Daphnia pulex: one gene and its partners. The protein of the gene in region 1 purifies or fractionates together with the protein of each later gene. This does not show direct contact. Links are inferred from orthologs where the notes say so. Each region holds a gene or a part of one and is shown on either strand. Other genes may lie near its edges. The genes, in order: DNA topoisomerase 2-binding protein 1-A-like, NAD-dependent protein deacetylase sirtuin-1-like, serine/threonine-protein kinase ATR-like and cell division control protein 45 homolog.

The links.
Region 2: the proteins of DNA topoisomerase 2-binding protein 1-A-like (region 1) and NAD-dependent protein deacetylase sirtuin-1-like purify together in Homo sapiens (affinity purification with western blotting; 3 studies listed by BioGRID, with this or other methods). This does not show direct contact. The link is inferred for Daphnia pulex from reciprocal best matches to the Homo sapiens genes TOPBP1 and SIRT1.
Region 3: the proteins of DNA topoisomerase 2-binding protein 1-A-like (region 1) and serine/threonine-protein kinase ATR-like purify together in Homo sapiens (affinity purification with western blotting; 8 studies listed by BioGRID). This does not show direct contact. The link is inferred for Daphnia pulex from reciprocal best matches to the Homo sapiens genes TOPBP1 and ATR.
Region 4: the proteins of DNA topoisomerase 2-binding protein 1-A-like (region 1) and cell division control protein 45 homolog purify together in Homo sapiens (affinity purification with western blotting; 3 studies listed by BioGRID and IntAct, with this or other methods). This does not show direct contact. The link is inferred for Daphnia pulex from reciprocal best matches to the Homo sapiens genes TOPBP1 and CDC45.

Annotation. Positions count from the first base shown.
Region 1 is NC_060022.1:4,609,070-4,611,616, forward strand, and holds the end of DNA topoisomerase 2-binding protein 1-A-like, read right to left. Parts: coding exon 2,464-2,547; intron 2,402-2,463; coding exon 948-2,401; intron 879-947; coding exon 665-878; 3' UTR 551-664; downstream 1-550. UniProt on the Homo sapiens protein: Scaffold protein that acts as a key protein-protein adapter in DNA replication and DNA repair. Composed of multiple BRCT domains, which specifically recognize and bind phosphorylated proteins, bringing proteins together into functional combinations.
Region 2 is NC_060021.1:10,714,621-10,718,698, forward strand, and holds the start of NAD-dependent protein deacetylase sirtuin-1-like, read right to left. Parts: upstream 2,819-4,078; 5' UTR 2,733-2,818; coding exon 2,630-2,732; intron 2,297-2,629; coding exon 2,173-2,296; intron 2,100-2,172; coding exon 1,838-2,099; intron 1,778-1,837; coding exon 1,655-1,777; intron 1,591-1,654; coding exon 1,397-1,590; intron 1,339-1,396; coding exon 920-1,338; intron 850-919; coding exon 732-849; intron 668-731; coding exon 396-667; intron 332-395; coding exon 141-331; 3' UTR 1-140. Other genes in the region: neuropeptide FF receptor 2-like, read left to right, coding at 3,584-3,856, 3,918-3,948, 4,012-4,078. UniProt on the Homo sapiens protein: NAD-dependent protein deacetylase that links transcriptional regulation directly to intracellular energetics and participates in the coordination of several separated cellular functions such as cell cycle, response to DNA damage, metabolism, apoptosis and autophagy.
Region 3 is NC_060021.1:4,790,147-4,794,160, forward strand, and holds the start of serine/threonine-protein kinase ATR-like, read right to left. Parts: upstream 2,827-4,014; 5' UTR 2,591-2,826; coding exon 2,317-2,590; intron 2,248-2,316; coding exon 1,898-2,247; intron 1,838-1,897; coding exon 1,676-1,837; intron 1,588-1,675; coding exon 1,359-1,587; intron 1,299-1,358; coding exon 1,177-1,298; intron 1,113-1,176; coding exon 1-1,112. Other genes in the region: NFX1-type zinc finger-containing protein 1-like, read right to left, coding at 3,251-4,014. UniProt on the Homo sapiens protein: Serine/threonine protein kinase which activates checkpoint signaling upon genotoxic stresses such as ionizing radiation (IR), ultraviolet light (UV), or DNA replication stalling, thereby acting as a DNA damage sensor.
Region 4 is NC_060026.1:14,327,766-14,331,912, reverse strand, and holds cell division control protein 45 homolog, read left to right. Parts: upstream 1-1,306; 5' UTR 1,307-1,393; coding exon 1,394-1,444; intron 1,445-1,521; coding exon 1,522-1,674; intron 1,675-1,739; coding exon 1,740-1,877; exon of another isoform or gene 1,878-1,937; coding exon 1,938-2,027; exon of another isoform or gene 2,028-2,086; coding exon 2,087-2,281; intron 2,282-2,324; exon of another isoform or gene 2,325-2,344; coding exon 2,345-2,406; exon of another isoform or gene 2,407-2,465; coding exon 2,466-2,639; intron 2,640-2,700; coding exon 2,701-2,832; intron 2,833-2,896; coding exon 2,897-3,157; intron 3,158-3,231; coding exon 3,232-3,370; intron 3,371-3,436; coding exon 3,437-3,642; intron 3,643-3,706; coding exon 3,707-3,783; intron 3,784-3,849; coding exon 3,850-3,914; 3' UTR 3,915-4,143; downstream 4,144-4,147. Other genes in the region: NAD-dependent protein deacylase, read left to right, coding at 16-230, 290-432, 505-655, 725-779. UniProt on the Homo sapiens protein: Required for initiation of chromosomal DNA replication. Core component of CDC45-MCM-GINS (CMG) helicase, the molecular machine that unwinds template DNA during replication, and around which the replisome is built.

The DNA of each region.
Region 1 (2,547 bases):
AGAGTTAAATCTTGCTTTGATACGTTGCGCAATCCAAAAAATTATTGCATTTGCACTACTCATTATCTTTTAATGTAATTCATGTAGAGTACTGAAAAATGTAACAGTTTTAAATATTTTTACAGCAGATTCACGATTGAAATGGATGCATTGAGAAAAATTGTAAGACCCGTGTGCAGCAACCTGCAACAACTCTTTATGTTTTCACCTGCTGTTTTCCCTGTGACAGTGTCAAGAACATTTAGTGCATTATCAATGAGAATTCCCCAAACTCTGAATGTGCAAAATCAACTGTTAACTCCTACTGTTCCTTCACTAGTTCCTAGTTGTGGATTCAAAGTTGTGGGGAAACCGATGAAACGTTGCAAAGACTGCTACAAAGTGGTGAGACAGGGAAGGGTTCATATCATTTGTAAAACTAAACCAAGGCATAAACAAATGTCAATGAAGAAAGATGAAGACAAAACCTGGATACTTACATCTGCAACAATGGGGCCTAAGCGTCTTTGGTAGTTTTGTCATCATTATGTACTAGTTATCAATACAATTCTGCAGGAAACTAGAAATGATTGTATTTCATGGACTTATCTAAGTATCTTTAAACATTTTCTTAAAAAAAAAAGGTATTTTTCACATTAGATTATTCAAATAAAAAGAAAGATAGTTAAGAAGAAGGCATGTTTTCGAGATAAGGAAGAAATTCTTGTAAAACAGACTTGCTCCATTTTAACTTCTTGTCAGTAGCCAGAACAAGATTTCTGAGATAAATCAATGGAACGCAATAAATGCCTCTATTGGCAAACGATGACAACTGCAACTTTTTCGCTTCGCGAGAATCCAAAATGCACAAGTTCGTCTTCTTGTTTTCCAAAGCCGAACTAGAAGAAACGTATAAATAAATGAAAATAATGAATGAAAGAAAACTCTGAACATCCTTATTATCATACCCTTGGTCAACCACCTTTCCGCCACCAGCTTCAAGTAAACGCTGGAAAGAAGCATTTTTCTCGCGAAGGTATAAAACAGCGGTAATTCCGTGAAAAGGGCCACCAGATACTCCTTGACTGCGATTAATACGCCAATAATATGCAGCCGCAGCAATGTTAGCTTCGTCCTCGGTAATGGATTCGGATTCTGGGTAATCCACCGTGGCTTCTGGATTGCCCCATTCAAATTTAGCTTCCTCAAGGAAACGTTTTTCTTTTTCGCTTTCAATCAGCCATTCTGGATGAAGGATCCATTTTCCAGCAGCGATCGACGTCAACAATTTTTCATTAGATCCAACTTTGGCGACGACAAGGTGAGTACACGTTGGGTCGTATTGGTTGGATTCAAGAACGGTTCCTCCCAACTCTTCGATAACAGCAGTACAGCTTTCACGATCGTCTAGTGCCATTCCAGAGAACATGACACGATACGTCTGAGTATTGTTTAGCTGTGAACCGGTTGGCTTTTGTGTCTCGTGAAGATCCCACACAATTGGAGCAGATTGCGAATCTACCGTTTCCAGAGGTTGCGTTGCGGGAACGAAGACGTGTTCAGGTCCTCTACCGTTTCTAGCCCCCGAAACGTTTGTAACCTTTTGCAGAGGAATCTGCTCAGCTGAACGTGATAGCACTTGGTCTAGTTGCAAAAGTTCTTTGCATGCTTCTTCCTCTACGTCTGGGACGACAAGATTCTCTTGTTCTTCATTAGTTTCAAGAAGGTCGTTTTCACGTGGCTCACTATCAGATGATAAGCGCTTACGGGAAGGAATTCTAGGAGTACCCGTTTCGCTGGAACTGGCAGGAAGGCGTCGCTTCTGGGTACAACTAGACGGCGGTGCAGGTTGCGAATTGAAATTCAGTGACAAAGCCATTTTCGGATTCAAAGATGGTGGATAATGCGATTCTTCTAGACGATTCGAAGTATCTTCACAGTCTAGGATCCATTGTGGTGAGACAAATTTCTGGTGCCAATCTTTTGCGCTTCGAATCTCTTTGGATGCAGCTAGCTTGCCCTGATATATGAAATGAGTTACCTCCTCGCAGTGTTGGAAACGAACCTTGCCACCCAGATTTTCAACTGCTTTTACCAACTCGGTTCTTTGGTCTTCAACTTTCTTGTGTATGAATGCCACCACTCCATGAAAAGGTGGCTTTGGTGGTTCTAAGGGTGATGCTGCCGCTGAATTTTCCTCATCCGGTTTCCACATGGCTTGTGCTTCAACTCCACTTTCATCAAGACGCAATTTTTTCCGTAAATTCAAGAAATAATCCGAGTCTTCGGGGGAAACCACAATTTCTCCTTTCTGAATATCTTGTGGGGTAACGTTAAGGGATTCGTCCGCGCGAGGCGTCAAACGAACTCGATTTTCCAATGCATGTTTCCACAATTTTCGAGTTTCGGGTGACGGGTCCGTCTACAAAGAAGAAAAATGCTGATTCCTTTCTGACGATTAAAAATTACAAACTAAAACATTACGTTTAAAAGCCTTCCATATGGTGTATCGGGTGTAGGCATGTTAAAAAGAGATGGTCGAGCTTGAGGTGTTCTACCAATATTATT
Region 2 (4,078 bases), on another chromosome or scaffold:
ATACAGGAAAAAAAAGAAATACTAAATACCATCGAGAGATTTCGTCTATATACACACGCTTGAAGCTTTTAAATAGAATCCATATTGTTAACATAACAATGGTAAAAACAGAAGCTTTGTCGTTGCTTCGGAATACGTCGTCAATCCATCGCTTTCCTTTTTACTCCATGCTCCGGGAAAGGTTGAGTTGAATCTCCTCCATCAATTCCAGACGAATCGCTGGAATCAGAGGATGAGTCAGAATCGGACTCTACCTCTTCGTCTGGGTCATAGAAGAGTTCAGCACCAGGAAACAGGTATCGACCAGGTTGGACGGTGAGATAAGTGTTTTCTGAATTTTATGCAAGGAAATGCATATAGATGACATAGACAACAACCGAACAAAAATAAATTACCTGGGAGTTGATCGGCAAGATTCACTTTGATTCGCGGCTCCCACCATCCGGTCATGTCATGAGTAACTGGTTCAACATCACCAGACTCGGCTGATTCCATTTCTAAGCTTCCTGTAGACATCCCACTGTCCCGGCGTAAAGGATCGTCTTGATCTCTTTTGGGGAAAATGGGTGCAGGTACGGCGACAGAAGGAGTGGGGCGTGGTGGTAGGCGACTGATCTCTGTTAGAGGTTCGCGGTAACAAATGTCATCTTTCCATTGTGTACCCAGTCTGATTGTTACAAGAAGATTGATGAGACAACAAATTTGGCTGATGAAAATTACTGTATACTAACAAATGACACAGTTGGTTGACGATAATATCGCAGTCCCCAAGCAGTTCAACATCAAAGACCATGTGGCGGAGAGGTTCGCGATTGATAAGAATTTGCGGAACATGATTCGGTAGGGCGCCTATTTGAATCAAGAGAAACTTATTGCATATGAACTTTAAGGTTACAAGATGACATTTAAAATAACTTACATGGGATGAGTGCGACAGGGCGGACTTTGAGCGATGACCCAATCACGATTATCAGGTCACATTCTTCTTTATCGAGTACCATAGCGCGGTGAAATTCGTCTGGCATTCCTTCTCCAAAGAAAACAATGTCAGGCTTCATGATCGGCTGGGCCGATAATGCCACCGACGACGATGTACTGGCCTCGTCTTCATTTTTCGACACATCCGAGCATTTCGGACAAAGTGGAATGCGTTGTTCCATTATGTCTTTTTCTATCTCGTTCGAGGGGACGCGATGTTGGCAGCGCAGGCAAGTGGCAGTAGCAAACGAGCCATGACATTGGATAACCCTTTCGATATCTGCTTGTTGTTCTAGTGTATCTATGTTTTGCGTGTAGTTGCGCAAAAGCTTGTTTTGTTTCTCTAGCAAACGAATGAACCTAAACAAAATATCGTTTCATTAGCGAAATTTCAAAATTGTCAAGAGAATTTGTTTACTTGTGGCATTTAGAAGGTGTAAACTGTCCTGGCCAAAGGTCTCGGGCGAATTTAAAGAACGGTCGGGGATCTTTTCGGAAGTAATGGATATCAAACATAGCTTGAGGATCGGGCAAGTCAGGGAAGTCGACGGCTAAGCGAGCGTAAATTCCATCACGGCTACGAAAGTCGGGAATACCACAGGAAACAGAAACCTAAACAAAATTTGTTCAAATATAATGAGGTAAATTATTTTATAAAAAAAAAAAAAAAAATTACCCCTGCTCCTGTAAGAACTAGAATCTTTTTACAGCTACGGAGTAATCTGACGGCATCGGATATTGCATTTATGTGGCGTAAACGTTCCCGCCTTGGAGGTTCACTGACAATATTCACGATTATCTGTTTTATTCAATAATTATGATTAGTTGCCTTGACAATGCTACAAATTTATAATTTTACCTTCCAAAGGGTGACATCGTCAAGATGGGTGGGGATTTGAGCATCATTTGGTACCAACTCATTCAGGATGGTTCGAGGATTGGTACCAAGAAGCATCTGTTGTTGCACCCAAGACATCGTCCCTGATGATGGCTCCCAGTCATGATTGCTCAAGTCACTCAACCCACTTATGTCTGAAACATCACTATCTGAGGAGGTATCATCATCTTTCTCCAAATTGCCCATTGAATCATCAGCATCTTGAATGGCTGGCAAAGCATAGCTACAAATAAATAAATAATAAAGTTAGACCATATGTTTGTACACAATAAAAAGAAGACATTAGTCCACATTACCTGGTAGATGGTAAATCATTAGTGAGATTTTCATCCTCGCTGCTGGCTAAAGACGTTAACTCGCTGAAGCCTGAATCCCCAGCGTTGAACATTTCACAGCTTCCTAGTTGTCCTGCATCATTTGCTGAAATTTAAAAAAAAAAAAAAAATATTTCAAGTAAGCTCACAATGGATCAACTCTACAGCCATCAAGAAATTTCAACTCAAGAAACCAAAACAGTATTTGACAAGTGTCATCACACTGTTATGACATTCAAACATGCCGCCCCAAAATTTTGGCAACGCAGCAATCGACCAAAAAGAAGGGCGTCTCCCCTCCCCCCCCCCCATCCGCCAATGGCCGCACTAACGAAGCAAAAGGCCATTTACCTCAAAACCGAATGCAATCTTTTGCTAACAATTTTGATTAGGTTCACAAGTACATTAAATGAATGAAATCGATCAAACGGGTACTTACAAAGCTGTTGGCCCTCAATAAAGGACTGTGAGATGTCAATCGGCAGCAAAGTTCTGCTTCGTTTTACGGGACTGTGAAAGTTCTCGCCTTGTTCGTCGGCCATTGCTTCGTCTTCCGTCGATCGTGGGGTAGAGGGCGCTTCTTCTTCTTCACAAATTTCGGGCCGCCAGGTGGCAGGTCAGCGTTGCCAGTATGAATCGAATTCGTCCCGAAACCGGAAGAAAATATGCGCAAGGACATGTATACATGAAATAGGAAGGGAATTAATTCAAGGCCTTTCCTTGTCGAGCTTTTATATCAACCTTAGTCCACTTTCCGCACGTTGCGGTTCAGATAAGGCATTGTGATTTTCGCATAAGGAGGAAAGCTGCTGATTATAATTTTTTTTTTAATAGGAGGTTTATCAGAAATGCAGTATCACCAAATTAAACTGAGAAAAAAATTAGTTCAAGATGTACTAAACATCACGAATGAGGTTACGCGATATCGGGAAAATAATTCACGTATGGCATTTGTACTAGAGAAGCGACCCCGAGGTTTGACTGACTTATAATATTCGTGGACCATAAAACCAAATCGCATAGGGGTGAGCCGGCCCGCGGTGCGTTATACCCCCAAAAGTTGTAAAACATGGTCTAGCGATTTGACGAACTTAATTAAATCTGATAGGCATAGCACACGGGGCCGCCCGATATGGCCGCTCTTGTTTGAAAGCGTGCGTCACAACAATTGCGCTGAGTGTGTGTGAGGATTATTAGTGCTGCGGGATCCGGTAAGTACTTGACTCCAGTCGAGAACGATCAGGCTTGATAAACAACAGCAGAGCTCAGTTGCTGGATTTACCTTCCGACAAGCAAGGAATTACTACTTTTTTCAATGTAAGTGAATTCATTGTTTTCCCACACGTAATAACCGAACTCAAGTCGTTCGTGCGAATTTCAGACTTTCACAGGAATGGATTTTTCAAACGTCAACTTCCCATTTCCTTTGTGGATTGTCCGTCCCACCTGGGAGTGCGCCTTGAAAATCGGATTCTTCGTTCCTGTCATTATCATCAGTCTGCTTGGAAACGGTTTGGTGGTTTACCTCATGGCCACCAATCGATTTTTGCGCACTTCCATCAACATCTTCATTTGGAATTTGGCCATCGCCGATCTTTTAACTATCCTACTCATCCCGTGGATAATTTTAATCATCGATCTCTACCAGATGTTCATTCTCGGAGAGGTTTCAAAACCAGTCAGTTTTATTATCAAATAATTATAATTTCCATTACATTTTTGGGAAGGTTATTTGTCGAACCGAGGGATTTTTAAGAGGTAATTCAAAGCTTCATTTTAAAAAAAAAACTGGCAAGTAATTCATATATTTCAAATCAAAAGTGATGCTGATGTTGGTGGACGTCTTCAGCTTGCTGGCCGTAAGCTTTGATCGTTTCTTTGCCATCGC
Region 3 (4,014 bases), on another chromosome or scaffold:
GATGGTAAATTTTTTTCAACCGAAATTTGCGCCACTTTGTGCAGTTTCTTGGTGATTGATAAACGAAGGGCTTCGGTTCGAGCAGAATGATAAAGAACCGATCGAAAAAGATCCACGCGGTGGAGTAGCGAAATATCATTTTCATCAAAGACAAACTCGAGGAAGAAGAGCGCCATATCTTCAGGAACGATGCTTACTTTTAATGATGTAGCAAGATTTTCGAGATTGTGAGTGCACCGTAAACTCAGTCCATCTTCTGGATTATTAACAACATTCATCTTGCCTGATAGAGCACAGACAAGGTCTGCTCCATTTTTTGTTAACTCCCTTATCTCTTCTCTAGAACCAGAAGCCAAAATGGTGGTTAAGCATTGTGTTATTGATTCGCGGAACGACTTGCTGTGGCGGACGATCCATGGAAGAGAAGGGATGAGTGCCTCAGCGTCAGCTTGAAGAAACTCGATGTCCAAAATCTTCAAGCCAATGTCAACGGCCCAAGGTTTAAAAAAGGCGACGGGGAATTTCACAAAGCAGCTGGCGAAACTGCTCTGGCGCTTTAGAAAAGAAGACTTGAATTTTCGACTGGCCTGTATCCATTTGGCTTCCAGGTCACATGATTCAGAGACTGCCGAGAGCCAAGGAAGAGACGATAGGGCAAACCACGCTATAGCGACGTTCTTATCGATTCCGACGTAAGTAAGTGGGATACAGCAGACCAAATACTCGCAAATTATATCCATCCAAGCGTCCATATCTTCACTGTTGATTTCATTGGTTAAAAGAATTTCACAAATTTTTCCGTTTAAGTTTTCGAAGTCGGCTTCATCCAAGACCGAGTTCATTTCGCGCCATTTCAGTTTCAGTTTGACTCCAACGATTGCGATCCTAACCAAAGCAATAGCGTCGGTCATCTCAATTGATTGACTTGCCGTTTGTTGATTCAATATTTCTTTCCAGCTATTTTTAATTTGTTCCCATAAAGTAGAAGAAGTCGATGGCGGAAGAAAATCAATTTTTAGTCTCTTAGCAGATGGTGGCTCATCAACTTCCATGGGACAGTCTCCAGGCGTCATCTCACTCTGCAAGATGATAAGTAAGGGTGGAATGGCAACCTACACAGGTAAAGAAATTTAGTAATAAAACATTGCTGTTTAATGAAATTCTGTGGTCAGTTACTTTAGCATGCTTTAGCAGCTTGATCCATAAATCAGGTGTGAATCTACAAAGAGAAATTGTTTCCGGGCATGTAAATTTCTGAAGTGCGCCCAGCATACTTTGTAAAAGATTGGGAAGTAAAGCTAGAATAAATTCAAAATTAATGTTATTGTAAGCATTCAAATATATTGAATATTTTATACAAGGTTGGTGGAATTTTTGATGAAGTAAAATAAAACTGATCAGCCTCAGGTATTGGTGATTAGTTACATTGTTCAAGCCGTAAAGACTAGATAGGCGACTGAGACAGTCAGTTAGCGCGATTTCTATTTCTGTGTAGCTATCTTCACTAATTCCAAGCCACAGTGGATTGCTTTTATCCATTAATAGGTTTACTAGGCGGTATGCGTAGCTTAGAAAAACCTCAAGAACCTGACAGCACGAATAAATGAATAAAATATATTTACCACAATGTTAATAGAAACCATAATAAGAGCCTAAGGATGTGTGAAATATTTACTCTGGCTGGATAATTATGAATCATGATTTTCCCAAGGCAGTCCAGTGTAGCTTTAAATGAACTAACTCCTCCATAATTTAGTTGATCCAATAAAATACAAACAAGTTTGTCACACAATTGATGGTTATATTGCAAAATGCCATCAGCTGACAAAGCAAAAATCTAAAAATATGCAAAAATATTTTGTAGAACACTAACAAAATTGTAATTTACAAAAGATACCTTGGTAATGCTATTTTGCAGAAGGGAGCATTCTAATAATGAATTTAGTTGCAAGCCATCCATCTTTAAAAGGCAATCTGCTGCAAGTGTTACTGGTTCCTTGAGAACGAAGGAGTGTAGCTTGAAGCTTCTATTGCAGACTTCTTCATTGGATTGTTTTGATACAATTCCTACCAATTCCTTCAACAAGTTGGCATATTCATTAACAATAGCAGTAAATTGGGCAGGTTCTTTATCTCTGAATAGATTCAAAATTTTAACATTCAGCTCAATAAATGGATTAAAAGCTTTCATGTATGAATTCCGAGTAAATATAATGGCGAATCTGCCAAGGAACCATTTAGTGTAAGCTGCAAAACAAACAGATGTTAATTTTGAGAGAAACCAGCATAAGACATTAACAGAAATGTAAATCTTACCAAAAGCTAAACTGTGATCGTTTTCATTATTTCCACATCCAAGAAAAACACCTTGATTATTTGGTTCACGGCAGCATCTGTCCATGACAGACATCAACACGACAAAGCTTTTTTCTGAATGATCTAGGTCAGCTAAAATTTTTAAAGCAGGCAAGGCCATCATTTTCCGGTGATCCGAAACTGCACTGAAGTGAGCACTTGTTGAGCTTTCTTCTTGAATTTCCATAGTTGTAGTCTTTTGACTTTGTTCTACTTTTACTGCTAAAGATGTCATTATGTAAACTTGGCAAACAAAGTACTAACGAAACTATGCAAACAAAGTACTAACGAAACGGGGCACCTTGAAGTACCACGACACACACCACGAAACTAACGCAAAACTAAAGCTAACAACAACCATATCACCCGCATCAGCAAATTACGATCACGTGTGAATAGCAGACGGATTCAAAGAAAAAGTCCAGTTTAAGAGGTTTTGGCGCCCATCTTACATTTCAGCGTTGGCGGATTATAAATAAGAAAACAAGGCAGTAGTAAAGAAAATGCAAAAAATGAAAAATAACTACGATAAAAAATTTAAAAAAAGTCTAGGTTATTATAATTAATCAATTACGAAAACGAGTTCAAGAAGACAAGACATTACAACTTTATTACAAGAAACCAGAGTCGAAGAAGAATTTCCTTATTCCAAACAATGAATACAGACAGAGTAATATTGTTTCATGTGGTCCACCAAAATATTTTGAATAACAATACAAAACTTAGTTTTTTTGGGGGACAAACAGCATCATACATTCCTTGCTTTAGAGTTTTAGACGCCAGCGAGCGAAAATGAATAAAAAAAAAGTTATTAAGAAATGTCCATAATGACTGTATCACCGTGGTATCACTAAGAACCGAACACTTGATAGATAGATTAGATGAATGATAACACTTAATCATCTATTTCAAAATTGGCCATATTATTTGCCTGCTCTGACCATGCAGCAAATCGAGCCCCATCCATTTCGCCTGCAACGCGGTTGTCTGATCGAAGCGTATGACTCCCTCCGCCGATTTGGGCGCCGCACTCGTTGCATTTGGCTTCCTGCATTGCTCCTCCACACTCTCCAATCGCGTAGATGTGGCCATTCGGACATTTGAACCAGTGTCCCTGTGTAAGTCCCATGGCCTTAATAATTTCCTTACGTTCGATGTCGCTGATGCCAAGTCCAGTATTCAATTTTTTGCCCATCCTCTGCAAAGTTTCTTTGATCACCACGATCTCACGATCCCTCAATGGCTTCACATTCTTCATCAACAGCTCTTCTACCTGCCGATTTTCTTCGTTTATCAAAGAGTTTCTGTTGTAGGTGGAGGAGCTCTTCAACAAAAAGAAGGCTCGAATCAAGTTCAAGCGGTTGACTTCGGCAATGAAACATTCATGTTCTTGAGACGCAAATCTTTCGCGATGGAAAAGAGACAAAAGAAGTTGTTGCGTTCGATTTAAAAGATCCTCCAGCAAAGGGCGACTCATATATCCAATTGGAGCTTGATTACCAGTTGCTGTAATCACCGGGGATTTTCTGACGACGCTCAAAACTCTTTCTATGACATCAACTTGAACTTGGATCAGATAGCGCGTATCTTCATCCAAACGTTTATACTCGGGTTTTTTTCGGACAATAGTTGGAGTGAGGTTATTCCGAATTCCTTCCA
Region 4 (4,147 bases), on another chromosome or scaffold:
TTTTTCTTGTTTCAGGCACACAATGCAATTGCAGAGTTCCAACATAGAATGACTAAAGAAGGAAGGCACGTCAGTGTGATCACCCAAAATATTGATGAACTTCATCAAAGGGCTGGTTCAGTCAATGTCTTAGAACTGCATGGCAGTCTGTTCAAGACTCGGTGTCTGAAATGTAAAAAGATAGAACCCAATCATGACAGTCCCATTTGTGAAGCTCTTAGGGGAAAGGGGTAAGATTTTCCTTTTTTACTTATTTCAAATAAAAATCTAATTGTCTTACCCTTATTAGATCACCATCCCCAAATGAGGTTGGAGAATTGGTTCCAGAATCATTGTTGCCCAGATGCAAAGTTTCTTCCTGTGGAGGCCTTCTAAGGCCCCATGTTGTATGGTTCCATGAAAATCTGGATTCTGCCGTTCTCAAAAAAGCTGGTAATTAGTACAATTTTTTCTTCGATGTCAATTTTTTATGTGTCCTATTTACGTGTTTATTTTATTATCTAGATGAGGAACTTAATAGTTGCGATCTGTGTTTGGTCGTTGGAACATCATCAGTTGTCTATCCAGCAGCAATGTTTGCTCCCCAGGTTGCTGAAAGAGGGGTTCCCGTCGCGGAATTCAATATGGAAACTACTCCTGCTACTCATCACTTTGGGTATGAAACACCTAAACATTTGCATGTCGTAAAGTTCTTTTCATAACACGTTATTGACGTTTCTGGCAGATTTCATTTTTCGGGTCCTTGTGGGGAACTTTTACCTAAAGCGCTGGCACCTTGACGATCGTGCGCCCAACTGTTGAATTGCTACAGACACTACGGTTTATAAAGACCTACAGCTGATAAATTAACATGCTTGTGCATTTAAAGTCGTATTGTTTTTATTATTTGTAAAAAACTACATATGCGTATACAAAACTTTACTAGAATCCGTACGTGAAATATTTTAAAATATGCGAATATTTGATTACCCCAATAGTTGAATCTTTAACAGTTGCATCAGCTTTATCCACGATAATGATTGATTAAAATTAGATTTTTACATAAAGACGATTTATTCTAACAGAGAAAAATATCTACAAAATAAGTTGAAAACTTTTGGTTGGTCATTTGAATTTCGGATGCTAATTGTCAACGAAAACTTAAGTAAGCGTTAAAAAGAAGGGAAATAAAAAAATTAAATTTTTCATATTTTGTGTGTGGAATTCTTTGTTTGTAAATATAAAAATATCACGTGTGCTTAAAAAACGAACGAAAAAACAAAATCAATTCCTTTGTCTGTGTTAAAGGGACACCAGAAGAGGCTTCGATTTTGTTGTTAGTTTCGCGCCATTTCACGTACCGAATGAAAAGAAGAGTGAGGGATCAGGGAAAGGGTATTGTGAATGGCTAACAATGTTTCTCAGTGACCTCAAACGCGAGTTTTACGATGTTATATTGGGAAAAGTAATAATGAACGACTGATTTACCGATATTTTGTGTGTGATATAAAGTAATGTCTTTCTCATATTTTCTTTGTACAGCGTGTCTTGATATTTGTGAATTTCGACGTGGATGCCATAGCTTCATGTCGAATTCTGCAGTACCTGTTACTTTGTGATTCAATCAGCTATTCTATAGTCCCTGTGCAGAGCCAAAATGATCTCATTTCAGCCTACAAAGAGAGCTGTGAACAGGTGAAAATGCATTCGTAATAATATATATAGTGTTGAAGAAGTGAGTGTCAATATAATTTCTACAGTCGAACCACATTATTCTGATAAACTGTGGAGGAACTTTGGACATTGTAGAAACATTAGAACCATCAGAGGAAAAAATCTTCTATATTGCAGACTCACATCGGCCATATGATGTTTGTAACATCTACAACGATGGACAGGTAAATATCACTGTTTACTTTTTATAGCGAAAACTTTGTTGATTGTGTGCCATTGTTTAGGTTTGTATACTGGGAAAGGTAAATGAGAAAGAAGATATACCAACATATGAAGATATCTTTGGGAATGATGATGACGATGATGATGATGAGGTAGTTAATTAATTGGCATATGTTTAAATTTGAAACTGATAAATTTTTAAAATAATTAGGGCAGCAATCCTTCAGATGGAGAAGCAAATGGTGATGGTGATGATGATGAAGAAGAAGTTCGTGAATCTAAATCCAAACGTCAGAAATTGGATCCTGCTGAAATGGTTATGCGTCGTAGAGAAAAAAGGCTATGGCATGAGAAAAGAAAGGAGATTTTGTTTAACTATATGCAATTTTCTTTTTATTCATCGTCGGTAAGTTTAATTCAAAATCAAAACTGTATTCAACTTTTATTACCATTCATTTTCGTCGTTTAGACTGCTCTTCTTATGTTTGAACTTGCCTGGAAATTATCTAGAGACAGCAATGACTTGTTGTGGTAATAATTCTTTAAATTTTTAGCTGAGTAAGAATGTACATGGTTCATTGGTATTGCAGGTGGGCTATTATTGGTGTGAACGAACAGCAGCTTCTGGGTAAAGTCGAATCAAAAACCTCGGTTCTTGATAATGGCAAATTGCAAAGTCACATGATTCGATTGGCCCATTTATCGCAACACGGTGGAGAATCGACAGGAACCAAAGACGCACTATATATAACCCACGAAAAAGAGTAACATAATATTTTTGCTATTTAATTTACAGTAATTTAAATTAACTTTTTGTTTAAACAGTTTAAATTTGTCAATGTACCGACACTGGAGTTTATTGGAAAGCTTAAAATACTCTCCTCAAACAGCCAGTCATTTTCAACTTTGGACACTGAAAGGAGAGAAAAAACTCAACGAGTTTCTAGCTGAATTGGGGTAATTTCAGAATCCAAATATATTTTACTACTATTATTGCAATGTCTTTTATTATTGCTCACAGGCTTCCACTGTCTCAGTGTCGCCAAAAATTTAACTCTATGGATATCGAGCTTCGAAATGATTTGCGTGCCATTTTCCAGAAAAAAGTGGAAAAATACGACTTGGAAGACCTCGTTGAATACAGTTTTAATTCTCAGTATGGATTCCGGCCAAAGAATTCCGCCAGTGACTATGTCTACGCTCTTATAGCGTTGCTTGATTCGGCCGAAAAGGATAAAGATCCAGCCGATGCATTTCACGACGCACTGGAATGTCTTTCAAAGTATGCTTCTTAACCTCAAGTCATCTTCATAGAAAGAATCGTGATTGAGACATTGTTCCTTTCATATCTTTTAGCTCGAAAATGGATGCTGTTTATAAAGGAATCGAACTGGCCAAGCTTCAGCAAATGGCGATCGGAAAAGAAGTGCACACCTGTCTGGATATGGGTCACGTGATCAGCGCAGGACCTTGTTTGTACGCAGTTATCCAAGACGTAATAATAATGAATCGTATTCATCCCTGACACGAATAGCATCTAAACAACTTGTGCAACATACAGGGGACACCAGACGCCAAGTACTATGGTTATCCGCACAGTTTGCTCATGCTGGGACAGTTTCTTCTCAAAGCCCACATCTCGCGAGCACGAGGTCGTGGATTGAGAGCGAGAGAGCTTCCACTCATCATTTCAGCCCCATCGGCGTCTCGACCATCTCATTGCCTTTTATTGGGTTTGCCTCCTTTATCATTGGATTCCCCTAAAAAGTAAGTGCCTCATCTCCTAGAATTCCATTTACCGTTTCTTAACCGTTTGCAACGATTGTCACAGCTTGATTGGAAAAGCCTTTGAGCAAGCAGCTGAAAATACCCAAACAGAAATCACATCTGTATTTTTTGACTCCTCCGGTATGAGATTTGTGTTGCTGTAGGTAGCGATTTATTTACTAATTCGTTTTTCTCTTGAATGCGCAGTGATCGAGATCAACTCGGAATGCCGAACCAATTTCTTGGATTCGCTCTTTTCACTCCTAGAGTAACACAAATTTACCGAACCCGAACGGTCAAAATGGGATTAGTGATTCACATCAAACGAGTATCTTTTTTCTTCTTATTCTTATTTAAGGCTGTACTCCCTCTAGAGAATTTTCTCCCCCTTTTTTTTTTAAACATGCCATACTTGATTTTAAAACAGTGTGTAGAATTTCGTTGGCGATTTCCCGTGCAAATTATATATTATCGCCGATTATACATCCTTTATTGCAATAACTTT